2 linked regions of the Oryctolagus cuniculus genome follow. The protein of the gene in region 2 purifies or fractionates together with the protein of the main gene of each other region. This does not show direct contact. Links are inferred from orthologs where the notes say so. Each region holds a gene or a part of one and is shown on either strand. Other genes may lie near its edges.

Region 1 (3,915 bases), on a different chromosome or scaffold from region 2:
GGTACCAGGAAGTCATGCAAAAGATGTGAGAAAAGTGAAGTGTCCTACTGGAAAAGCATGGCAGCCAAGGCCTCTGCTGCTTCCCAGCCACCACCGAATGGTCAAGTCCCAACCTTCCCGTTAGGCTGGAACATGAAATGATGCCTGCTGCCTAAACACCATGCCAGGCAGAAACCAGCAGGGTTGGCTACCCCAACCTGACAGAAGTCAATTAAATAAACTGCAAGTAGAATTTACAACTGTCCCCAAATAAACTTTTTTGGCTCTCATTCCATTTATCATCAGTGGCACGATTTCAAGTGAAGTTTGTGCAAAATGACTCTTCTTCATTCAACGATGTGCACAGAAGAAGGGAATCCCAAAGAGTCTATCTGCCAGCTTCTTGGCAGGCTTCAAGATCAGAGTGCCCTGTCCTCCAGCAGCCAGAAATGGCCTCTCCGTCCAACATCCCTCACATTCCTGGCTGGATCCCTGAAGTCAGTTGGTGTCACGTGCATTCGGCATGCTAGGTTTGTTCATTTAAATACGTGAAGCTCCTCTTGCAGGTGCCCCAAGGTGGTGCCGCCATTAGTTCTGGGTGCCCAGTTTCATGTAGAGCAGCAGAGGGCAATCTGCTGCACCTTGCCCAGGTCTGTAAGTAGCTGCTTGATGCAGTGCTTGAGTTGTGGCAGCCTGGCCAGTGGCTCTGGGGGCTCCAGTTCCCCGGTATAGTCCAGCCAGCTCTCCAACACTGTGGCAGAAGAGAGAAAGAAGACTCTGTGAGCCCTCAACACATCATTTGCAAGAAGATCAACAAGGTTCTCAGCACCTTATCCTGTTGCGAGCTGGGAAGGAGGGACACTGAAGCCAACATTATCTCAATACCTGCTCTACATACTCCTGGAAGAAAGCTCAGTTGCTTTGGAGCAGCAGAGTCTTGTGCAATGATGAGAATGGTCAGCATGGTCCAGTACAGTAGCCACATGCAGCTCCTGAGCACTTGAAACATGGCTAGTGCAATTCAGGAACTGAATTTTAAATTTACTCTGTTCGCTGGTGGCTACTATATTGGACAACTGGGTCTAAAAGGCTTTCAAAGACCCACCTTTCTTAGTGTGACTGCCCACTCTTTACAGAGCTTGCCCATGTTGCAAATCAGAAAGCCTGGTCTTTTAGGATCAAAAAAAAAGGGGGGGGGGGACTTGAAAGGCTCTGTTTTTTATCACCATAAACTCTGATTTGCTTTATATTAGTTCCTGTGCTTACCCAGCTTGCCAAGAGCCATGCCTCAACCCGTGCTGAGCACCTCTGGACCCTGGAATGCAGAAGGAGGCAGACCTACCCAGCCAGTGTCTGTTCCTCCGGCCGCCTGCAGCCTACCACACAAACCCCAGCTCTCACACCTAACCCCACCGTCCTCTCCACCTTTCTAAATCCTTTGTTCCCAGCAAGTTACTCCTTAGGGAAGCCTCCTCAACTCTACACTCTGAATCTACTCCCTGAGTTACAGAGGCTATGGTACCATATGTTCTCCTGTGAGCATTTAATAATCTGTGATTAACCACAAGGAAATAAGAAAAACAAGACTGCCTTTTTGTACCCACACTTGGAAACCAAAAGTAAAAAATCCAAGTCATGTGAGAGGGACTAGTGGTCATCTGAACAGCAACTCCACAGTCACCAGTTTCAATCCATCAGTAAGTCTTAAAAAACAAGATCTAGAGGGCAACAACAGACTGCTGAGCAAACAGGCACAAGAATAAATGGTGGGGCCTGTGCTATGGCGAGTGGGTTAGCTGCCTGCAGAGCCAGCATCACATATGGGTGCCAGTTCAAGTCCCGGCTGCTCCACTTCCCATCCAGCACTCTGCTGTGGCCTGGGAAAGCAGAAGACGGCTCAACACCTTGGGCCCCTGCGCCCACGTGGGAAATCTGGAAGAAGCTCCTGGCTCCTGGCTTTGGATCGGCCTAGCTCCAGCTGTTGCGGCCACTTGGGGAGTGAACCAGCAGATGGAAGACCTCTCTCTCTCTCTCTTACTCTCTGCTTGTGCCTCTGCCTAACTCTGCCTTTCAAATAAATAAATAAATGGAGAAAAGGCAGTCAGGACTGGATGGATCAATTTGAAAGGGGAGGGTAGACAGTGTCTTAGGCAAGATGCTGCTGCAGGTGCTGAGCGACCCCTCTTAAGATCACCTGAACTACCTCCGATCTGGTGCCAGGCTTGCTGCAGAGGGCACCCCTCAACAGCGGCTCAGGAGACAAGCGCAGGGAAACAAGCAGCAGCATGAAGACTGGCACAGTGTATGTCACTCAGTAGTGTCCGAGCATGGTTTATGGGAGTGTCTGGAACTCCTGAGACAGAAGCTCGCTCTCCAGATCTGCTGGGCTGAAGAACAGGGCCAAAGGCATGGGAAGTCAACAGCATCTTGGGACCCGAGAGTCCGGCAGGCCAGCCCCCCGAGCTTTGGGCTGCCCACACCATTATCCCAACTTCGCTCTTCAGGGAGTGAAACCACTTCTAAGTATACTTCTAAGTATAATGGTTGCTAGCAAGACAAGGTCACCACGGGAAAAGTTTCACTTCAAATACACTCTTCAAGCTCATCTGTATAGAGACCATTGTTCACTATGGTATTTTTTCCTTAAAATAATACTTCTAAATATTAAATACTAAAATATTTAATATTTCACTTTTAATGATCATTTAATTTCCTTTGTCTTTTATTTTTATCATTTATCTGAAAGGCAGAGTGACAGAGAGACACCCACACATATACAGAAAGAACGAGAGTGAGAGAGAGTCCATGTTTCCATCTGCTGATTCACACCCCAGATTCTCACAACAGCCAGGACTGCGCCAGGCTGAATCTAGGAGCCCAGCATTCCATCCAGGTCTCCCATGTGGATGGCAGGGGCCCAAGCACTTGAGACATCATTTGCTGCATTCTCAGGCACATCAGCAGGAAGCTGGATCGGAAGCAGAGGAACCAAGACTTGAACCTGCACTCATGTGTTGGTTGCAGTTGTCCTAAACAGTTGTTCCACAATGTCTTCTTTCCTTTGCCCCCACCCCTTTTTAAGATTTATTTATTTATTTATTTATTTATTTGAAAGGCAGAGTTACACACAAAGGCATAGGCAGAGAAAGAAAGGTCTTCCATCTGCAGGTTCACTCCCCAAAAGACCACAACGGTTGGAGCTGTGCCGATCTGAAGCCAGGAGCCAGGAGCTTCCTCTGGGTCTCCCACGTGGGTGCAAGGGCCCAAGGCATTGGGCCATCTTCTACTGCTTTCCAGGCCACAGCAGAGAGCTGGATGGGAAACGGAGCAGCTGGGACTTGAACTGGCATCCCATATGTGATGCTGGCACTGCAGGTGGCGGCTTTACCTGCTATGCCACAGCACTGGTCCCCCTTCCTTTGCCTTTTAAACTACTATTCACAAAGCTTTATAAATTATTAAATAATGGTTAATAGTAAAAAATGACTTTTATCTATGTGTGTCAATATGATAGCTTTTCTGTTTTCCTATCTGCTGGGTCAGTCCCTAAATACCTTCAATGAAAAGGCTGGGCAAGATCAAAGCCAGGAACTCCATCCAGGTCTCCCATGTGGATGGCAGGGACCTAACTAATTAAACTATTACCTGCTGCCACACAGAGTATGCATGAATAGGAAGCTAGAATTCATAGTGGGGCCAGGACTTGAACACAGGTGTCATAACCACTAGGACAAATACCTGCTCCACTAGGCTTTTTTTTTTTTTTTTTTTTAAAGGACTGTTACATCCAAATTTCTATAAAAGCTTAGTTCATCTTGATGGCATTTAAATGAATTCAAGAGTTGATTCCCAGGAATGGTGTTTTGGAATAACGGGTTAAGCCGCTGCCTGTAATTTCAGCATCACAAATGGGCATTGGTTCAAGTCCCAGCTGCT
Region 2 (4,741 bases):
ACAGTGTAAAAAGTTCACTCCCACTCTCAATAGTGTTCAAGAGCCACACGTGGCCAGTGGCCAGCGGTCACTGCCCAGGAGACAGAATGGCCACGGAACGTTTTTTTCCTGACAGGAAGTTCAGTGGGACACTGCTGCCTTAGACCCTGGGAGGCCCTTCCGGTCCCATCCACAGTAAGGACTGGTGCCACGCTCGCGTTCCTGCAAACGTTGTGCTTCTAGGTGAAGTAAAAGCTTCTCCAAGCAGTACTTACCTCCAATAAGTGCTATGCGCTCTGGGATTTTCTCTTTTCCTATTTCTTTCTTCCATTTTCAAAATTTAAATGCTGCCCCCACCCACTGAATCAATTTTGCCATCTACTAGAAGGCCCCATCCCACAGCTTAAAAAACAGCACTGCAGGGGCCGGCACTGTGGTATAGGGGGTAAAACCACTGCCTGCAGTGCCAGGATCTCATATGGGTACCTGTTCAAGTCCCAGCTGCTCCACTTCAGATCCAGCTCTCTGCTGTGGCCTGGGAAAGCAGTAGAAGATGGCCCAAGTGCTTGGGCCCCTGCACCCATGTGGGAGACCCGGAAGAAGTCCTGGCTCCTGATCAGTGTAGCTCTGGCCGTTGCGGCCAATTAGAGAGTGAACCAGCAGATAGACCTCCTCCCCTTTCTCTCTGTGCCTTTCTTCCTCTCTGTGTAACTGACTTTCAAATAAATAAATCTTTAAAAAAAAAATAAAAAAGAACCCACACTTTGTCACCAAATGGTTTCTGACTTTTCACAGTTACCGGCACTGAAGCTGGCAGAGCCAGCCCCTAACCGGGTTCTTCAAGCCGTCGTGGGCCTCTCCTGTAGGGGATGACAAGGCTGCTCACCTCACAATTCCCTGCAGTAAACACTGGGCCTAACACTTGGGCTCACAGACCACTGTCTGGCATTATGATTCTCGCTTCAGCCCGCCTTCTGCTAGCTGTGTGACCTTGGGCATGTTACTGGATCTCTCTGAGCCTGCTTCCTCTTCTACCATAGAAATAACTATCCTTATGGCACTGAACTGTTAGGGAGGACGGGATGAGCTCACACACGTATAGGACTCAGGATGGTGCCCAACGTCATTCATTCATTTCCTTTCCTTTGTACTTCAAGCATTTTTGTCTAATGTCTAGGAGCCAACAGAAGACAGAGAAAGAAGCGCTGGGAGGCAGGGTTCCCATCCCAGCTAGGTATTTGCTCGCTGGGCAACTGCAGCCAAACCCTTGCCCTCTCAAGCCTGAATTTTCCTCCCTATGAAGAAGAGTACACAAAAGGTCAGGGAAGTCTCTGGCACACTATAGGAAGCATCAGAAATGGGACAATCTCTCTCTCTCTATGTAACTCTCAAATAAATAAAATAAAATGAAAATTTAGACCAAAAAAGAAACGGGAGATGTGTTGGCACCAGGGCCTGTGAAGCCCGGGGGAGCTGGTAGAGGCAGCGGGGCCTCCCGGGCCCTGGGGAAGGGGGGCCCCGGACCTTCTGCACGTGGTTGATCTCATCGTGCTTCCGCTTTTGGTTGCGCGTGATCTTGCGCTCAGGCTGCTCGGCCAGCTCACTCAGGTACTTCTCCGAGTTCTTCTGCACGGCGTCCTTCACTGTCTTGGTCAGCGCCAGCCGGTTCTTGTCCACCCATTCGTCCAATCGCCGGTTGACTGTGAGGATGGTGCGGATGGGCTGTGAGGGCTGCTGCCCGGCTGGCCCTTCTCCCACCCACCCAGGCCAGACTGCCCCAGGTCACTCACAGCCCACATAGTGCACATAGAACTCCTCTCGGCCCTCCTGGTCATTCACTCGAGACTGGATCACCTCGGCCGAATCTGAAGGACAAAGGGCAGGATCACCAGGACGCAAGGACCAGGACGAGAGACCCTGGACACGGAGGAGCAGCCTCCAGGTCTGTGGGGCCGCAGGTAAGCTAACCCCACCCAAACACATCTGCCAAGCTATTTCAACTTTCTGAGCTTTCGTTTCTCCATATGAAAAATAAGACCAACAGCGCCCACCTCAGAGAGTGAGCTCATGCCTCTGAAATCTTTCAGCCGGTGCCTGACCACTCACAGCTCACTTAGTAAGTGAGTAAGGCAACCACTGCGCGTCTGGCCCTACACCCGGGTACAGAGGGCAGGGCAATGACTCACAAGAGCTCCTGCCCTCCAGAAGTTCCCAGTCTGATAGGGGAGAAGACACAGCCCGGAAAATGACAACAGTAAATGTTACGAGCACCGCAGCGGCTGAGGTATGCAAACAATGTTGCAGGCCTGTGCACAGGGAACAGCTCACTCTGCCTGCAGGGGGAATCAAGCGTTGCATCAGAGAAGATGAGTTAAAAGGATAAGGAGGAGCGAGTCAGGCGGCGCAGGGAGGCAAGGAAGACAAGGTATTCCAAGCAGAAGGCACACGTGGTATAAGGCATCCTAGGGTATTCAGAGGGCAAAGCGCGTTCTTGTCCGGCCAAGACTGGGAGCCCCAGAGGTCACAAAAATGGATGCCATTCTAAGGAACTTGGGGTTTGTTTGGAAGATGACGGAAGGCAAAGGAATGTAAAGCGAAGAGGAAGCTTGTTTGGGGAGGGGGTGGTTCTCTGTTGGCGGCCGTGGGGGACAGATGGAAAAAGCAGAGATCGATAAGGAAGGAGAGTTAGTAAAGAAAGAAAAGGGAATGAAGCCTAAAACCCGGAAAGGAAGTGGAAGGGGAGCTCTGTAGACAATCAGAATTTGAAGATCGCCTGGCTGGTGGGATCTGGGCGGCGCCCAGCACACCTCGAAGGGTAACAGCCTGCCTCTACGCTGCGGCTTCCGCAGCGCCGGCTACAACGCCTACTTCCTCAAGCCCCACCTCCCCTCGACTCCCAGCGCCCAGCTCTCGGCCCCTGCGAGGACCCGTCCTCCGGCCCTGCCCCGCCGCAGTCCCCGCCCCCTGGCCCCGGACCCCGCCCTCACGCCAGGTGCTATCCGGCCGCCGGCACAGGTAGGTCTCTCCGATCTCCACCGTGACTTCTGGCTCGCCGCGCGCCGGCGTGGGCGGGGAGACGCGGCCCGGGGATGGGGCGGTCCCCTCGACCGCCGCATTCTCCCCTGGCCCGGGCTCGCTCTCCCCTGCGACCCCCGAAGTCGCCGCCGCAACCGCCGCAGCTGCTCCCTGGGCCGCCATCGCGGTAGAGGAAGTGACGCCAGAGTCAGGCGCCGCGCGCGGCTGTTTTCGCTCCGGGTCAACAGTGCGCGGGGGCGGAGCGTCAGGCCGGGTGGGGCGGGGTCTGTGATGTGGCGGGAGATTATTGGCTCGTGCGGCCGTCCTCTGCGCGCTGGGCGTGCGCACTGCGCTTTGCGTTGTCGGGGTTGGGAGATAGACTTTCCTGATGTACTGAGGTCGGTCTTTCTGATGGCCAAGATGTGCCGATTTTCAAGGGGTCGCTGCCCCTACTTTAGCGGAGCGGAGCCAGCATGGCCTCCTTAGCTCCCGGACGCCGGGATTGTGAGCCCGGGCTTAGCAGCCCGCCCGTGAGCCGCCCACCTGGGCCAGCCTGGTATCGGCCACCTGTAGTTTCTAAGGTTGAGGACACTGCTTCCTTTGTTCAGGTTGGGAAAAAGTAACCGCTGAGGTCGCGACAGCCGGACAGGTGTGTCCAGGGATGCCCTCCCAGAACAGTCTATTAAAGAAAGGAGCTGGTGCCGAAACCACCGGAGCAGAAACTCGCCCGGGGGCAGAGTGAGGTCTAACCCTGCCCTGGATAAGGTGCACACGCGTGCAGATGACCTGAGAGCCGGCACAAGTTAATACAGGTCCATACGGGTGGTAAGACTTTTAGCACTAAAACTGACGGTTACGCGTGTATGCTATCTCAGAGCCGGCAGAGTAGGCATCCAATAAATATCCCCTTTGCCCATTTTCTGAATATTCTTTGATTTAGTTATTGGATTTAGAATCAATTTTTTAAAAATATTTGTTCATTTACTTGAAAGAGTCATATATAGAGAGAAGGAGAGGCGGGGGGGGGGTCTTCTGTCTGCTGGTTCCCTCCCCAGTTGGCTGCAACGGCTGAAGCTGCGCCCATCTGAAGCCAGCAGCCAGGGACTTCTTCCGGGTCTCCCATGCAGGTGCAGGGGTTCAAGGACTTGGGTCATCTACTGCTTTCCCAGCCCATAGCAGAGAGCTGGGTCGGAAGTGGAGCAGCCAGGACGCCAACTGGCGCCCATATGAGATACTGGCACTGCAGGTGGCGGCTTTACCCCTTATCACCACAGCGCCAGCCCCTGGAAGCAATTCTGAGAGGCGTGGAATGCCCAGGAGAGTGGAGCTCAAGAAATACCTGCTAGAGGGATCCCGGGCCGATGGCAGTGGGGAGGCACTGGTAACTTGGCTCTTGGGAAATGAAGAAATTTAGGGGGCTAGTGATTGCTGTGTATCTGACATGATAAACATCACAGAGAAAAGATGAAAATTCTACTCCCTGCACCCTCTCCAGACTCCCTGCCTTGAAGATTCTTACTCCACCTACCCAGGGGACTGACAGCTTCAGTTACCCAGGCTGTCCCTTCCAGCGAAGGGTTAGCCAGAACTTTATTAATCCCTGATCAGGGTCACTGCTTCGGCCTCCACCGTTCTCCCTCCAGTCGTCTGGCAACCCATGATTCTTCCAACGTGCAGATCTGATCGCTGGGCCCAGAGCTGCAGGTGCTACACTCAGACACCCCCGCGGCTCTTGGTTATTTTCTGT

The links. Proteins that work in one complex are often made in the same cells at the same time.
Region 1: the proteins of KAT8 (region 2) and PHF20 purify together in Homo sapiens (affinity purification with mass spectrometry; 3 studies listed by BioGRID and IntAct, counting the BioPlex papers as one, with this or other methods). This does not show direct contact. The link is inferred for Oryctolagus cuniculus from reciprocal best matches to the Homo sapiens genes KAT8 and PHF20.

Annotation. Positions count from the first base shown.
Region 1 is NC_091442.1:22,301,925-22,305,839, forward strand, and holds the end of PHF20 (PHD finger protein 20), read right to left. Parts: intron 731-3,915; coding exon 588-730; downstream 1-587. UniProt on the Homo sapiens protein: Methyllysine-binding protein, component of the MOF histone acetyltransferase protein complex.
Region 2 is NC_091450.1:6,066,655-6,071,395, forward strand, and holds the start of KAT8 (histone acetyltransferase KAT8), read right to left. Parts: upstream 3,236-4,741; 5' UTR 3,178-3,235; coding exon 2,967-3,177; intron 1,845-2,966; coding exon 1,770-1,844; intron 1,680-1,769; coding exon 1,504-1,679; intron 1-1,503.